3 linked regions of the Mus musculus genome follow. The protein of the gene in region 1 purifies or fractionates together with the protein of each later gene. This does not show direct contact. Links are inferred from orthologs where the notes say so. Each region holds a gene or a part of one and is shown in the gene's direction. Other genes may lie near its edges.

The links.
Region 2: the proteins of Ube2cbp (region 1) and Dnaaf2 purify together in Homo sapiens (affinity purification with mass spectrometry; 4 studies listed by BioGRID and IntAct, counting the BioPlex papers as one, with this or other methods). This does not show direct contact. The link is inferred for Mus musculus from reciprocal best matches to the Homo sapiens genes UBE3D and DNAAF2.
Region 3: the proteins of Ube2cbp (region 1) and Cpsf3 purify together in Homo sapiens (affinity purification with mass spectrometry; 4 studies listed by BioGRID and IntAct, counting the BioPlex papers as one, with this or other methods). This does not show direct contact. The link is inferred for Mus musculus from reciprocal best matches to the Homo sapiens genes UBE3D and CPSF3.

What each region holds. Positions count from the first base shown.
Region 1 is NC_000075.6:86,451,309-86,454,956, reverse strand, and holds part of Ube2cbp (E3 ubiquitin-protein ligase E3D), read left to right. Parts: intron 1-2,946; coding exon 2,947-3,143; intron 3,144-3,648. UniProt on the Homo sapiens protein: E3 ubiquitin-protein ligase which accepts ubiquitin from specific E2 ubiquitin-conjugating enzymes, and transfers it to substrates, generally promoting their degradation by the proteasome.
Region 2 is NC_000078.6:69,195,503-69,199,950, reverse strand, and holds the start of Dnaaf2 (protein kintoun), read left to right. Parts: upstream 1-1,521; 5' UTR 1,522-1,665; coding exon 1,666-3,459; intron 3,460-4,448. UniProt on the Homo sapiens protein: Required for cytoplasmic pre-assembly of axonemal dyneins, thereby playing a central role in motility in cilia and flagella.
Region 3 is NC_000078.6:21,299,781-21,303,428, forward strand, and holds part of Cpsf3 (cleavage and polyadenylation specificity factor subunit 3), read left to right. Parts: intron 1-261; coding exon 262-437; intron 438-1,635; coding exon 1,636-1,794; intron 1,795-2,578; coding exon 2,579-2,725; intron 2,726-3,648. UniProt on the Homo sapiens protein: Component of the cleavage and polyadenylation specificity factor (CPSF) complex that plays a key role in pre-mRNA 3'-end formation, recognizing the AAUAAA signal sequence and interacting with poly(A) polymerase and other factors to bring about cleavage and poly(A) addition.

The sequences.
Region 1 (3,648 bases):
TACACACACACATACATACATATTCACACCTACATACACACCCACACTCATACACACATACACAAACATACACAAACTACAGACACAGAGGAATAATATAGCCTAGTCATGTCATAGCTTTAATTTTAGTTTTTGAAAAAATTTCATACTAATTTCTATAGTCTCTACACCACTTTACATTCTTGCTCATAATAGCAGTGGATGAATGAATAATGGCCAGAGAAAAATACAAAAACAAAGGGTAAAATAAGAACCATAAAGTAGTATACTAAATAGAGAGAAATACCTGGAAAACCACAATGAAGTGAGGGGTAGAGAATAAGTCTTTTATTTAAATGAGAGGTAACATTTGCCTAACACACTGAGTGGAATGAGGTATGCACTGTGAGATGCTAAGCAGAAGAAAGCTTGAAGGAGTGGGGCTGATAGGGTTTAGATCTGAAGTGTGCAGAAGGCTCATGTGTTGAAAGTCTGACCTCCCAGAGTATCAGTGTTCAGAGGTGACATGATTTTGATGGTCCTAAGTTCATCAGCGGAGTAGCCCATTGATAGACTCATAGCTAAGTGGATTATTGGGAGAAATGGAAACGGTGAGGGGCGGATCATGGTTAAAAGCAGCCCATGCTCTTCAGCTCTCATTGCTTCCTGACTGCCACGAGGCAAACAGCTGTGCCTTATGCTCCTCACCGTAATATTCAGCTTTTCCTCGGACCCAAGGCAACAGGCCTTAGAGGCTGTGGTCCAGAATGACTGAAGCTGGAGATACCATGCAAGTTTCTTCTTAAGTTGCATTTCTCAGACGCTTTGTCACAGTGACAGTAAGGTGACTAACACACTGATTACCTCATGTCTAAGTGTTTATTAACCCTATTTCTAGTAACAAAATAAACAAAAGGTCTTGGTTTGCAGCATTGGATAAATATTTTCACCATGACATTTAGCCTGTAAGAGTTGCAGATGTCCTGTTTCGTTAGTATCCAGTGTCTAAGAACTTGCTGAAGCTGAATCTAGAAGTATAGCACTAAGTCTTATGGGGCATTTAAGGACGATAGCTGCTTTTCAGGGAGATGTGCTGTCCTGGGTAGCTTTAAGGAGGGTGTGGCCCCTGAATAATAATAGTAAGAATGCCCCAAGACACTGAAAGTGGAGTCTCTACACAGGACATTCTCACTTCCTTTGTCTGCCTCTTTACTTTGGTGCTCAGTAGTATGGTATAGGCTTATCTAGTTTGATTTTCTTTCTTTCTACTCTAGTCCTGATGTAGTTTTCTCTCAAGCAACCTTATTGTTTTGCCTTTTAAAAACATTCCAAGGAGTGTGTACTGGTTACGTGGGGCAGGGCATGCCTGTAATCCTAACACTTGGGATTTAGAAGCAAGAGCACCAGGAGTTCCCGGTCATCCTCCATTACATAGCTGAGTGTGAGTCTGGACCGGGACACTTGAGACCTTGTCTCAAAAAGCGTGCATGTATGCATGTATAGTGTGTGTGTGTGCACAACTACACACTGGGAATCTAGCCTAGGGCCTTGCATATGCCACCAAATTAAATCCCCAGGACTTCTTTTTAAATAGAAAATTGTCCTTCTAGACTAAGATTTGGTGCTCATTACTATTGGAATGTCATTTCTTTTAGACTTCTGGCACATAGATGACACTGTTGACTAACACACAAACATTCATTCCCACCTATTTATATCTCTGTAGCTATGCACATCCTAAACCATGATCTCATAGAGGTATCCCTAATTCTAGCCCACTGCCACAGGTCCATTCTAGCATCCTCCCTTTGTTTCCATGTAACTGTATTCTTGCACAGTATAAATCCCGTCTCCCATTAGCCTCCTGATGTTTATCTCCCTGGTCAGTCTTCTATGCAACCAGGCTTCCGCTGGCTCTTTCCTGTTCCCTCTTCTCCCCTCTACATGCTGCAACCTTCTTATAGACCAAGAGTCTTCTTGGAATCTATGGGTATAAGTTCTAACTCCCCACAGAGGTGTTGTTCGGAGGCAGGGCCTCTAAGAGATCTTGAGGATGGAACCACTAAGATGAGTGAGATGCAAGCAGAAGGAGACCCCCCCCCCCAGCTGCCTTCCTACACATCATCTTATGGAGACCGTGTGGTTCATGGAACAGCCAGTCAGATTTACAAGTTCAGCTGAAAAATCAACACAAGAAAACTTACATCTGTGTTGAATGTGTGTGTAAACTTTCCTCCCGCGCTGAGATCTCCTAAGCAGTACAGTTGAGGACTGTAGACACACAACCCGATGTTTTGGGTGTTATGTGCAATGCTGACAGTGTGTGTGCACTTTAGTCAGCTCTGTGTAAGTGGTTGAATTTTTCACAACTGAGAAGATTAGCCATCCGAAGCAGGGGCAGAAGCAGGGGCAGTGGGGGCTCAGGTTACCAGTGGTGTTTTGGGGGGACATTTCTAGGTGCCAACTGTGCTTCAAAAATACTGCAGTAGCAAGGTGGACACCAAGCTATCTCATGGCTTCTTTTGGCACAGCCTGTGAACTAAGAACTGGCTTTTTTTTTTTTTCTGTTGTTTGGGGCGTTTGTTGTTGTTTGAGATAAGTTCTCACTGTGGGTCCTAGGCTGGTGGAGAACTCAGGAAATATTTACTCTCTGACTTTTTACAGAAACCTTGCTGACATCTGTGACTTTTTATGACAATCTTGATTACCGGCTAAGCAGTACTTTGATTTTCTGACTTTAATGCTGTTCTCAGAAGCAAGAGTTAAAAACATGACCTGGGAATCTCACGTGGTGATGGCTGCAAGCCCTGCCTGATCTAACCTAGTCCAGCTTGTCTCCCAGGGTCTGTTTCTGTTTTCCTGGGACAAGGATTTTAGGGTCTCTATGCTGGGTTAAGGTTTGGATTTTGTAAGCTTTGCCTTTCATCAGAGAGAAGTCGTCACTTGGCTTTTATTTTGTGTCATCAGTGGGCCAGATGAAGGAGGGATGCACCTGGACATTTCCATAACGCCCACCTCTCTTTTGGTGAGAACCCCTGACGGCTGCACCGAGATCCGACTTCCAGCAGGGGTCAGACTTGTACCTTCCTCGTGTGGCGGGCTGCAGTATATCAGTGGCGATGGTTTACATCTGCGCTTGCGGGTCCAGGCTGAATCCAGCCCACGTGAGTAGGAGCGGCACTCCTGGAGGGCTTTGACGTTTTTTTAGTTGAACTTTTCCCAGGTGAAAAGTTAGGCAATCAATGACCTGGAGGGGTCGAGAGATTCCAGGGTCTGGAACAGTTCTGCCAGTTAGCAGCTGTGTGCTGTGTGCTGTATCACTCTCCTTTCTCAAACCTTCATGTCTTTCTTTTAACAGTATGTTTAAAAATGCGCTTTAATTTTTAGGGGATGTTTAGCCTTGTCGCAAATTTGAGCAGAAGGTGCAGAGATTTCCCCCAAACTGCCCAGTTCGTTTCTTTAACCATAAATGTCCGGCTCACGGATATGAGGATAAAATTATAAAGCTGTTGTATGAAACCTGGTTGGTTTTAAAACACTGCATAGATATGTTTTCATTCAGCAGACAGGTTAGCTTCTACGAGGTGTGTGTGAGCCGTTTGATATGGGTGCTGGAAACACAGATGCCCACAAGCCACATAGCTGTCTGGTAATGTGGAGTGTGTGTCC
Region 2 (4,448 bases), on another chromosome or scaffold:
CCCACGCTGGGAGAGAGGAACTCCCAGTTGTCTTCTGACCTACACATGCGTTCACGGTGGATGCATGCACATATACAATGATAAAATTTCAAAAAGTACATTATTTATTTACACAGGTAGAGTACGCAATAAATATCTGACGCAGACTGATCCAGTAACAGATGACATTTAAGAGGGAAGATGAGCAGCACTGGCAAGTCCATGAATAGGGAAGCTGACAGAGGAAGGGCAAAGAAAGTAAAGAACAAGAATTTGGAATGCTGAAAATGAAAGAGGAAGGGAAGTCACGCCATTTCAGGCCTCTGGGGCTTAAGCAGTTATTACTCAAATGGAGACATCTGATGGACAGTTGATGAGTCTATAAGCTTAGAATGTGAAACAGAAGTTGGTTATTTGAGTTTTATTTACTTACTTGTTTTGGGTTTTCAAGACAGCGTTTCTCTGGATTCCTTGGCTTTTCTGGAACTTGCTCTGCAGACCAGGCTGGCCTTGAACTCAGAGTCACCATGGTAGTTGAGTACATATATTTAGCATGTGAAAGAGATGGCATAACGGAGATGAGGTGTCATCCCAATCTTGGGACAGTCTACTTAAAATGTAACAGAGGAAGGCCTGCAGATTGGTGGAAAGAATGCTTGTCTCAGGTGTGAGGCCCTGGGTGTGGTTCTGTGGACATTCCCTCCCACAAAAGGAGGAGGCATAAGAGAGAAGCCTGGGAAAGGTCTTGTGATTGCAGTAATGCCAGTATAAACTGCTAAATGCTGCACTTGTAAAACAGGTCTGGGACTGCCCAGCAATCAATAAGTAACCATACCCTAGACCTGGGTGTGTGGCTCAGTGGTACAGCTCAGGCCACAGGTGGGAAGTCCTGGATCCCACACCTAGCCCTGTAACAAAACCAAGTTTCTATAGTCTGGCACAGTAAAGTTCCATTATGTAACTACTACATCTGCTGCATTGGTTCCTAGTGGAGCATTGTTAAGAGACTACAGAGTCAATCTAAGGATATCTAGTTTAAAAAAAAAGCGCAGTTATAAATTCTATTCTCAACCCAAGGAAATTGATCAGGACAAACTGTAATTTTGCTAAGTGATTTGAGAGCTTGCATTTACATTATAAAAAGCGAACACCTTTCTGATGCTTATTAATCTCTGGGATTTGTTTTGTCATCTTTTGCCCCCAAGGGTTTCTGGGAGACAACTATAAGGTGGAATACCTGAAAATGGTAAGGGTTTACTAACGTTGGTTCCACAAAGTAAAGAGAGTCAGATAAAGTTAGGTTTGTGAATTAGCTAGTAAACTTCTCTCTTGTTGGTGAAATTAAACAGTTAATAAGATAAAGACACAGCGCTGAAGATGAGGACAGTTACCACAATAGACTGCAAAGTACACGTATCCTGACACAGTAATTTAAAACCTGTAGCAGGTAGTGTCTGCTTGGTTTGAAGTAACAGTGGAGCCTATTTCTAGCATTTCTACCAGATCGCTGCCCCTCCTCCCAGGCGTTACTATGGCAACAAAGCACGCGCTGCCCGGCCTTGACAATCCAGCCGTTACCTTCTTGGACTGGTCAGTTCTCCATGAGCCAGACTCTGAAGCGCATCCTAGACACTCAATTCACCCTGATCCTTCACTGGGTCTGGGCATTGGGCCGTGTGGGTCACCATGGCCAAGGCGGCGGCCTCCTCAGCGCTGGAGGACTTGGATCTGAGCAGAGAGGAGGTGCAGCGGTTCACCTCCGCCTTTCAGGACCCAGAGTTCCGCCGAATGTTCTCCGAGTACGCCGCGGAGATCACGGACCCCGAGAACCGGAGGCGCTACGAGGAGGAGATCACAGCCCTGGAGCGGGAGCGTGGGGTGGATGTGCGGTTCGTGCACCCTGAGCCGGGCCATGTGCTGCGTACCAGCCTGGACGGGGAGCACCGCTGCTACGTGAACGTGTGCAGCAACTCACTGGTAGGCGTACCTAGCAGCCGGCCCGGCCCGGGGCGCGGCGGCACGGCAGCTGGCAGCCACTGGTCCCTGCCCTATAGCCTGGCTCCCGGCCGCCAGTATGCCGGCCGCAACGGCGCCCGCTACACCGTCTACGACGTGGTCTTCCACCCCGAAGCGCTGGCGCTGGCCCGGAGCCACGAGCGCTTCCGCGAAATGCTGGACGCCACGGCCCTGGAGGCGGTGGAGCAGCAGTTCGGCGTCAGGCTGGACCGCAGGAACGCCAAGACCCTGAAGATCAAGTACAAGGGGATGCCCGAGGCCGCAGTGCTCCGCACGCCCCTACCCGGGGGCGTCCCGGCCCAGCCCGAGGGGGAGCCACCAGGGCTTTTCCCGGACCCACCATATCCATACCGCTACCCCGCGGCAGCGGCGGCGAACACTGCCCGCTCGCCCGCGTCCCCCGCTCCCGAGGCCGTGCAGCGCCCAGAGCCCACGGAGCCGCGCTGCTCCGTGGTGCAGCGCCACCACGTAGACCTCCAGGATTACCGCTGCTCGCGCGACGCGGCCCCGAGCACCGTGCCGCACGAGCTGGTGGTCACCATCGAGCTGCCGCTGCTGCGCTCGGTCGAGCGGGCGGAGCTGGAGGTGAAGGGGAAGCTGCTGTGCCTGGACTCGAGAAACCCCGACTACCGGCTGCGGCTCTCGCTGCCGTACCCGGTGGACGACGGCCGCGGCAAGGCACAGTACAACAAGGCGCGGCGGCAGCTGGTGGTCACGCTGCCGGTGGCGCTGGCCGACGCGCGCCAGGAACCCCCGGCCGCGACACCGGAAGAGCCCGCGGAGGAGACCGGAACTGACGACGTAGCCCGCACTTCCGCGGGCGATTTTGCAGCGGCGCGGGAAGAGTCTGCAGATGGAACCGGAGCTGACCACGGGGAGAAGAGCGGTGTGGGAGCCCCAGACCCCGGGGCTGCACACGCTGAAGGGGAGCTCGTTCCCGAACCGGAGCAGGACTTCGGAGGGGACTCGGTGGCACCTCTAGACCTCGGGAAAGGGACTTCTCCTGGGGACCGAAGCCTCCCTTACTCTGCTTTCCCGGGCGGCGACACCGAATCCCTGTGCGGAGACCCCGGTGTCCAGACGAATGAGGAGCAGGAGAGGACCCGCCACGACACCGCGGGCTCAGCCATGGGTGACCCCGGAACCGAGAGCATCGCACCCGTGTGCCCTCCTTTACAGTGTAATCAGGACGAAGACTCCTTGACTTTGCTCATCCAAGTGCCTGGGATTCTGCCACAAACTCTTCACGGACATCTAAGCCCCGTCGGTTACGAATTGTGCTTCTCTACACAAGACTCGGGTTATTCCTGCACTTTGCAGTTTGCTCCAGAGAATAAGTTGAGTACCAGAGAACCCGAGACTAGCGTTTCTTTAAATAATGCAGTCATAGTACTGGCAAAATCTCCAGAGAGCCACGGACTTTGGCGAGAGTGGTATTGTGGCTTGAACAAGGAGTCTTTGGAGGTAACCGTTCTCACTATTTGAAATACTCTATCTTACTTTAAACATTTTTTGTTACAGGCACATAAACAAATATTTTCTATCTATTCATACGATGACAGTGCAGGCTAAGCTCATTCTCAAAGAGAAGATTGCACGTATTCTATCCTAAGGATGCTCTTAAGCCTTCACGGTTGACCCGTATTACACCTGTTTACTCGGGGTCCACCGACTAGAAAACCAGTGGATTTTAGTGACTTCTCTCTAGACTTCTGGAAATGTATGCAAGAAATTGAGGGTTCAGTCTCTCCTGAGAAAAAGGTTATAACTATAGTTAGTAAGATCTTGTCTCAAAAAAACAAGTGTGTGTGTGGATTGGGCACTTGGTAATTTTGTTTGAGGTTTATATCAAAGTTATATGTAAACTGCAACAGTGAAGAGGCTAAGGTGTAGTTCGGTGGCAGAGTGTTGGCCTGCAGCCTCCCAGAAAGTCAAGTTGTCACAGACAACAATAGCTTTGTAGACTGTTCAACCCTGAGCTCTGAGCTCCAGCCTGCCAAAACAGTTCACTTCTTCTAGATGTTTTTCTAAATCACAGTGGGATTAAGGCATATTTGAAGACTTAAGTAGATTTATTATAATTATACCATTAATTATTATCACCTGTGATGGGGCTAATGGGATCATAAAACCCGTTCTTTTATTTTATACTATACTGTATCAAGCCCCAAGTATCGGACATAATGATGCGTTCAGGAGCGTTACACCCTAACGTTCAGGAGCCTGAGGCAGGAGGATTATGAGTTTGAGGCCAGTTTTTTTTTTTTTTTTTTTGGTTTTTCGAGACAGGGTTTCTCTGTATAGTCCTGGCTGTCCTGGAACTCACACTGTAGACCAGGCTGGCCTTGAACTCAGAAATCCGCCTGCCTCTGCCTCCGGAGTGCTGGGATTAAAGGCGTGTGCCACCACACCCAGCTTGAGGCCAGTTTTATAGTGAGACACAGTCCTAAAAA
Region 3 (3,648 bases), on another chromosome or scaffold:
TTTCTAAAAAACAAAACAAACAAAATATTAATCAGTATAAATATAAAATGAAGCAGCTGTTAAAGATTCCATATTTTTGATCATTGACACAACTTTGTTTTATTTTTAGATTTTATATTGCTAGGTAGATTTGTAGTTTAGTAATGATCAGGGTAGTTTTGATAAACTCATTAAAATACAGTTGTACGGTACTCAGCTCAGATGTTTTGTAGTTACTGTTACTGCCTGCTGAGGGACGCTTCCTCTGTGAAACCTCTGCAGATGAGTACTGGCAGAACCACCCGGAGCTGCATGACATACCCATTTACTACGCATCGTCTCTGGCCAAGAAGTGCATGGCCGTGTACCAGACCTACGTGAATGCCATGAACGACAAGATCCGGAAGCAGATCAACATCAACAACCCCTTTGTTTTCAAGCACATCAGCAACCTCAAGGTGCCGCTCTTGGAGGAGGGAGGCACGGCGGGGCGCACAGTGGTGAGGGGTGGCCACACTGCTGCTGAGGCTCTCTGCTCTCCAGCCAGCTTCATGGTGCTGGGACGCACTGGAGCCAGGCTTGCCCTTGCTCGGCGTCTCCATATTCCCTCAGTGCACAGCAGAAAGCCTGAGTCTCTCCTGCTATAGGAAGAAAGTCCTGACAGGAAAAATATGGCAGGTTACAGATTTAGATTTTGTTGTTCACATCTGATCCTCTTTGATTAGCACTGCAAATTCCATGTAGGAATTAATAAAACTCCCATGTTTGCATCCCAATATCAATTAATAGAATCGAATTTAATTTAAAGTATATTATGATTAAATGCTTTTCAAATATCATTAATTTTGTTTGGTTAGTTTTGTTTTGTTTTGAGACAAACATAGCCCTACATAGCCCTGGCTGTCCTGAAACTCACTCTGTAGACGAGGCTGGCCTTGAACTCAGAAATTTGCCTGCCATTGCCTTCTGAGTACTGATATTAAAGGCATTCTCCACCATGCCCAGCACATTTTAATTTTGTTGTTGTTGTTTTTTTTTAATTATATATTTTTTTTATTACGTATTTTCCTCAATTACATTTCCAATGCTATCCCAAAAGTCCCCCATACCCTCCCCCCATTCCCCTACCCACCCATTCCCACTTTTTGGTCCTGGTGTTCCCCTGTATTGGGGCATATAAAGTTTGTGTGTCCAATGGGCCTCTCTTTCCACTGATGGCCGACTAGGCCATCTTTTGATACATATGCAGCTAGAGTCAAGAGCTCCGGGGTACTGGTAAGTTCATAATGTTGTTGCACCTACACGGTTGCAGATCTCTTTAGCTCCTTGGGTACTTTTTCTAGCTCCTCCATTGGGGGGCCCTGTGATCCATCCATTAGCTGACTGTGAGCATCCACTTCTGTGTTTGCTAGGCCCCAGTATAGTCTCACAAGAGACAACTATATCAGGGTCCTTTCAGCAAAATCTTGCTAGTGTATGCAATGGTGTCAGCGTTTGGAGGGTAATTATAGGATGGATCCATTTTAATTTTGTAATGTGGCACTTAAACACAGTGCCAGCTAGTCTCACCATGGCCCATGCAGAAGTGTGATTACTTTACGAGGAGACTGTTTGACCAGGCTGGTGACTGTGACCCTTTAACCCTTTGTCTCTCAGAGCATGGATCACTTTGATGACATTGGCCCCAGTGTTGTGATGGCCTCACCAGGCATGATTCAAAACGGCTTATCCAGAGAGCTGTTTGAAAGCTGGTGTACAGATAAGAGGAATGGCGTCATCATCGCGGGGTACTGTGTCGAAGGGACACTTGCCAAGGTCAGTACCATCCTGGGATGGGAGCCCATGTCTCATGGAGAATGCTGGCGGAGCTCCTGCTCAGGCTCTGCTTTTGGGCTTGGGGGTTATTTGCATAGGCTTTACCAGTTGTTTCCCCAGACATTTTTGCTCAAAATTACTAGATTTCTCAGATGAGGGGCGCACAACCATGACATGGACTTTTACAGAGCTGTATAATGCGCCAGGGCTGACTGCCATCTCTATTTTGGTATAAAATGGCTGTTCTTAGCATGTAGGATGTACACATTATAGAGTACACTGCAGGACTTTAAAGGCTAATGGACATCCAGGCAAGCATGTTCTCTTGTCTTCTTGCTGCTAACATCTGTTTTAATTTAAAAATAGAGTGTGGTTTCTTGTTCTGATCATTTTCCTCCTTTGCCACATTCTATGAAGTTGTTAGAGAGCCTGCTGATCATTGCTGGTCATTTGCTTAGCTGGCTCCAGACTAGAGGTGTGTCTGTCCTGTGGGTTCTGCAGGGAAGCTGCTGTAGCAGAGCCAAGTGCAGCTTTGTTTACGTTACAGGCTTCCCTCCAGCGCTGAATGCACTGGATCCTACTGAGGTGTCTGACCTTCGATTAAATATTTACTCAATAAAAACCATAAGCGTTTAGTACTGACTAAGTCAAGGACATCAGAAGGATGTTCACGGTACAGTTCACAAAGTTAACGTTAGAGATCGTGATTGTGCAAGACGTAACCAAAATGCACCTTCATTTATCTAATTGCAAAGTCTGTTTTTCTTGTATTTGTTTCCAACAGCACATCATGTCTGAACCTGAAGAAATCACGACCATGTCTGGACAGAAGTTGCCACTGAAAATGTCGGTTGATTACATTTCTTTCTCTGCTCACACAGATTACCAGCAAACCAGTGAATTTATTCGTGCTCTGAAGCCACCTCACGTGGTTAGTCTGGGAATGGCATGTGTAGATAAAGCTGCATGAAACACACAGGGCTGCCACAGCCCAGCTCTTTGTGTTCCTTTGTGAACAGAGCATTCTACTTGCACTTGGTTTAACCTTTGCTCTTCCCCTTTGACTTCGGTCCACTGCACTGAGTTTCCTCACTCTGCAGACTCCTCCAGACTCACCTAGTCCAGTGTTCTCTCTGTTTCTGCTGCCACTCCAGTAGCCTGAGTGCCAGGCTTGAGCATATGATGACTGACCTTGAACCCCTAACTCCTCCTTTTGCCTGCTGTGTATCTGGCAAGTTGTGGAGCCTCTTTGTGCTTTCTATAAATAAGGGTAATAGCACTTTATAAGGTCATTGTGCAGAAAGACTGAGAGACTATGGCGTGCTTGACACAGTACCTGACCCATGGTGCATTCTTTATATTGTTATTAAATTAACAGTGCAAACATCATTTTCACAGAGGAGAAAGTCATAGTAAATGTCTAAGTTTTAATAGATAGAGATGTAAACACATACTGTGTTAGTTCCTTATGTATTAGTATATTTGGTTTTTTGGTTTGGTTTGGTTTTGGTTTTTCGAGACAGGGTTTCTCTGAATAGCCTTGGCTGTCCTGGAACTCACTCCGTAGACCAGGCTGGCCTCAAACTCAGAAATCCGCCTGTCTCTGCCCCCAAGTGCTAGGATTAAAGGCGTGCACCACCACTGCCCAGCTCTTGTTTATATCTTTAAGTATTATGAAAACAATAGTAATGAGCCAGTAAGCTAGCTCTGGGGAAAGGGGCTTGCCTCAAAAGCCCAAGGCCAGCCTTCAGCACATGTGTGGAGGTAGAAGGAGAACTGAGCAGAGCTGCCCCTGACTTCCACGTGCATGCTGAGGCAATGCACTCGCGCTCGCGTGCGTGCACACACACACAC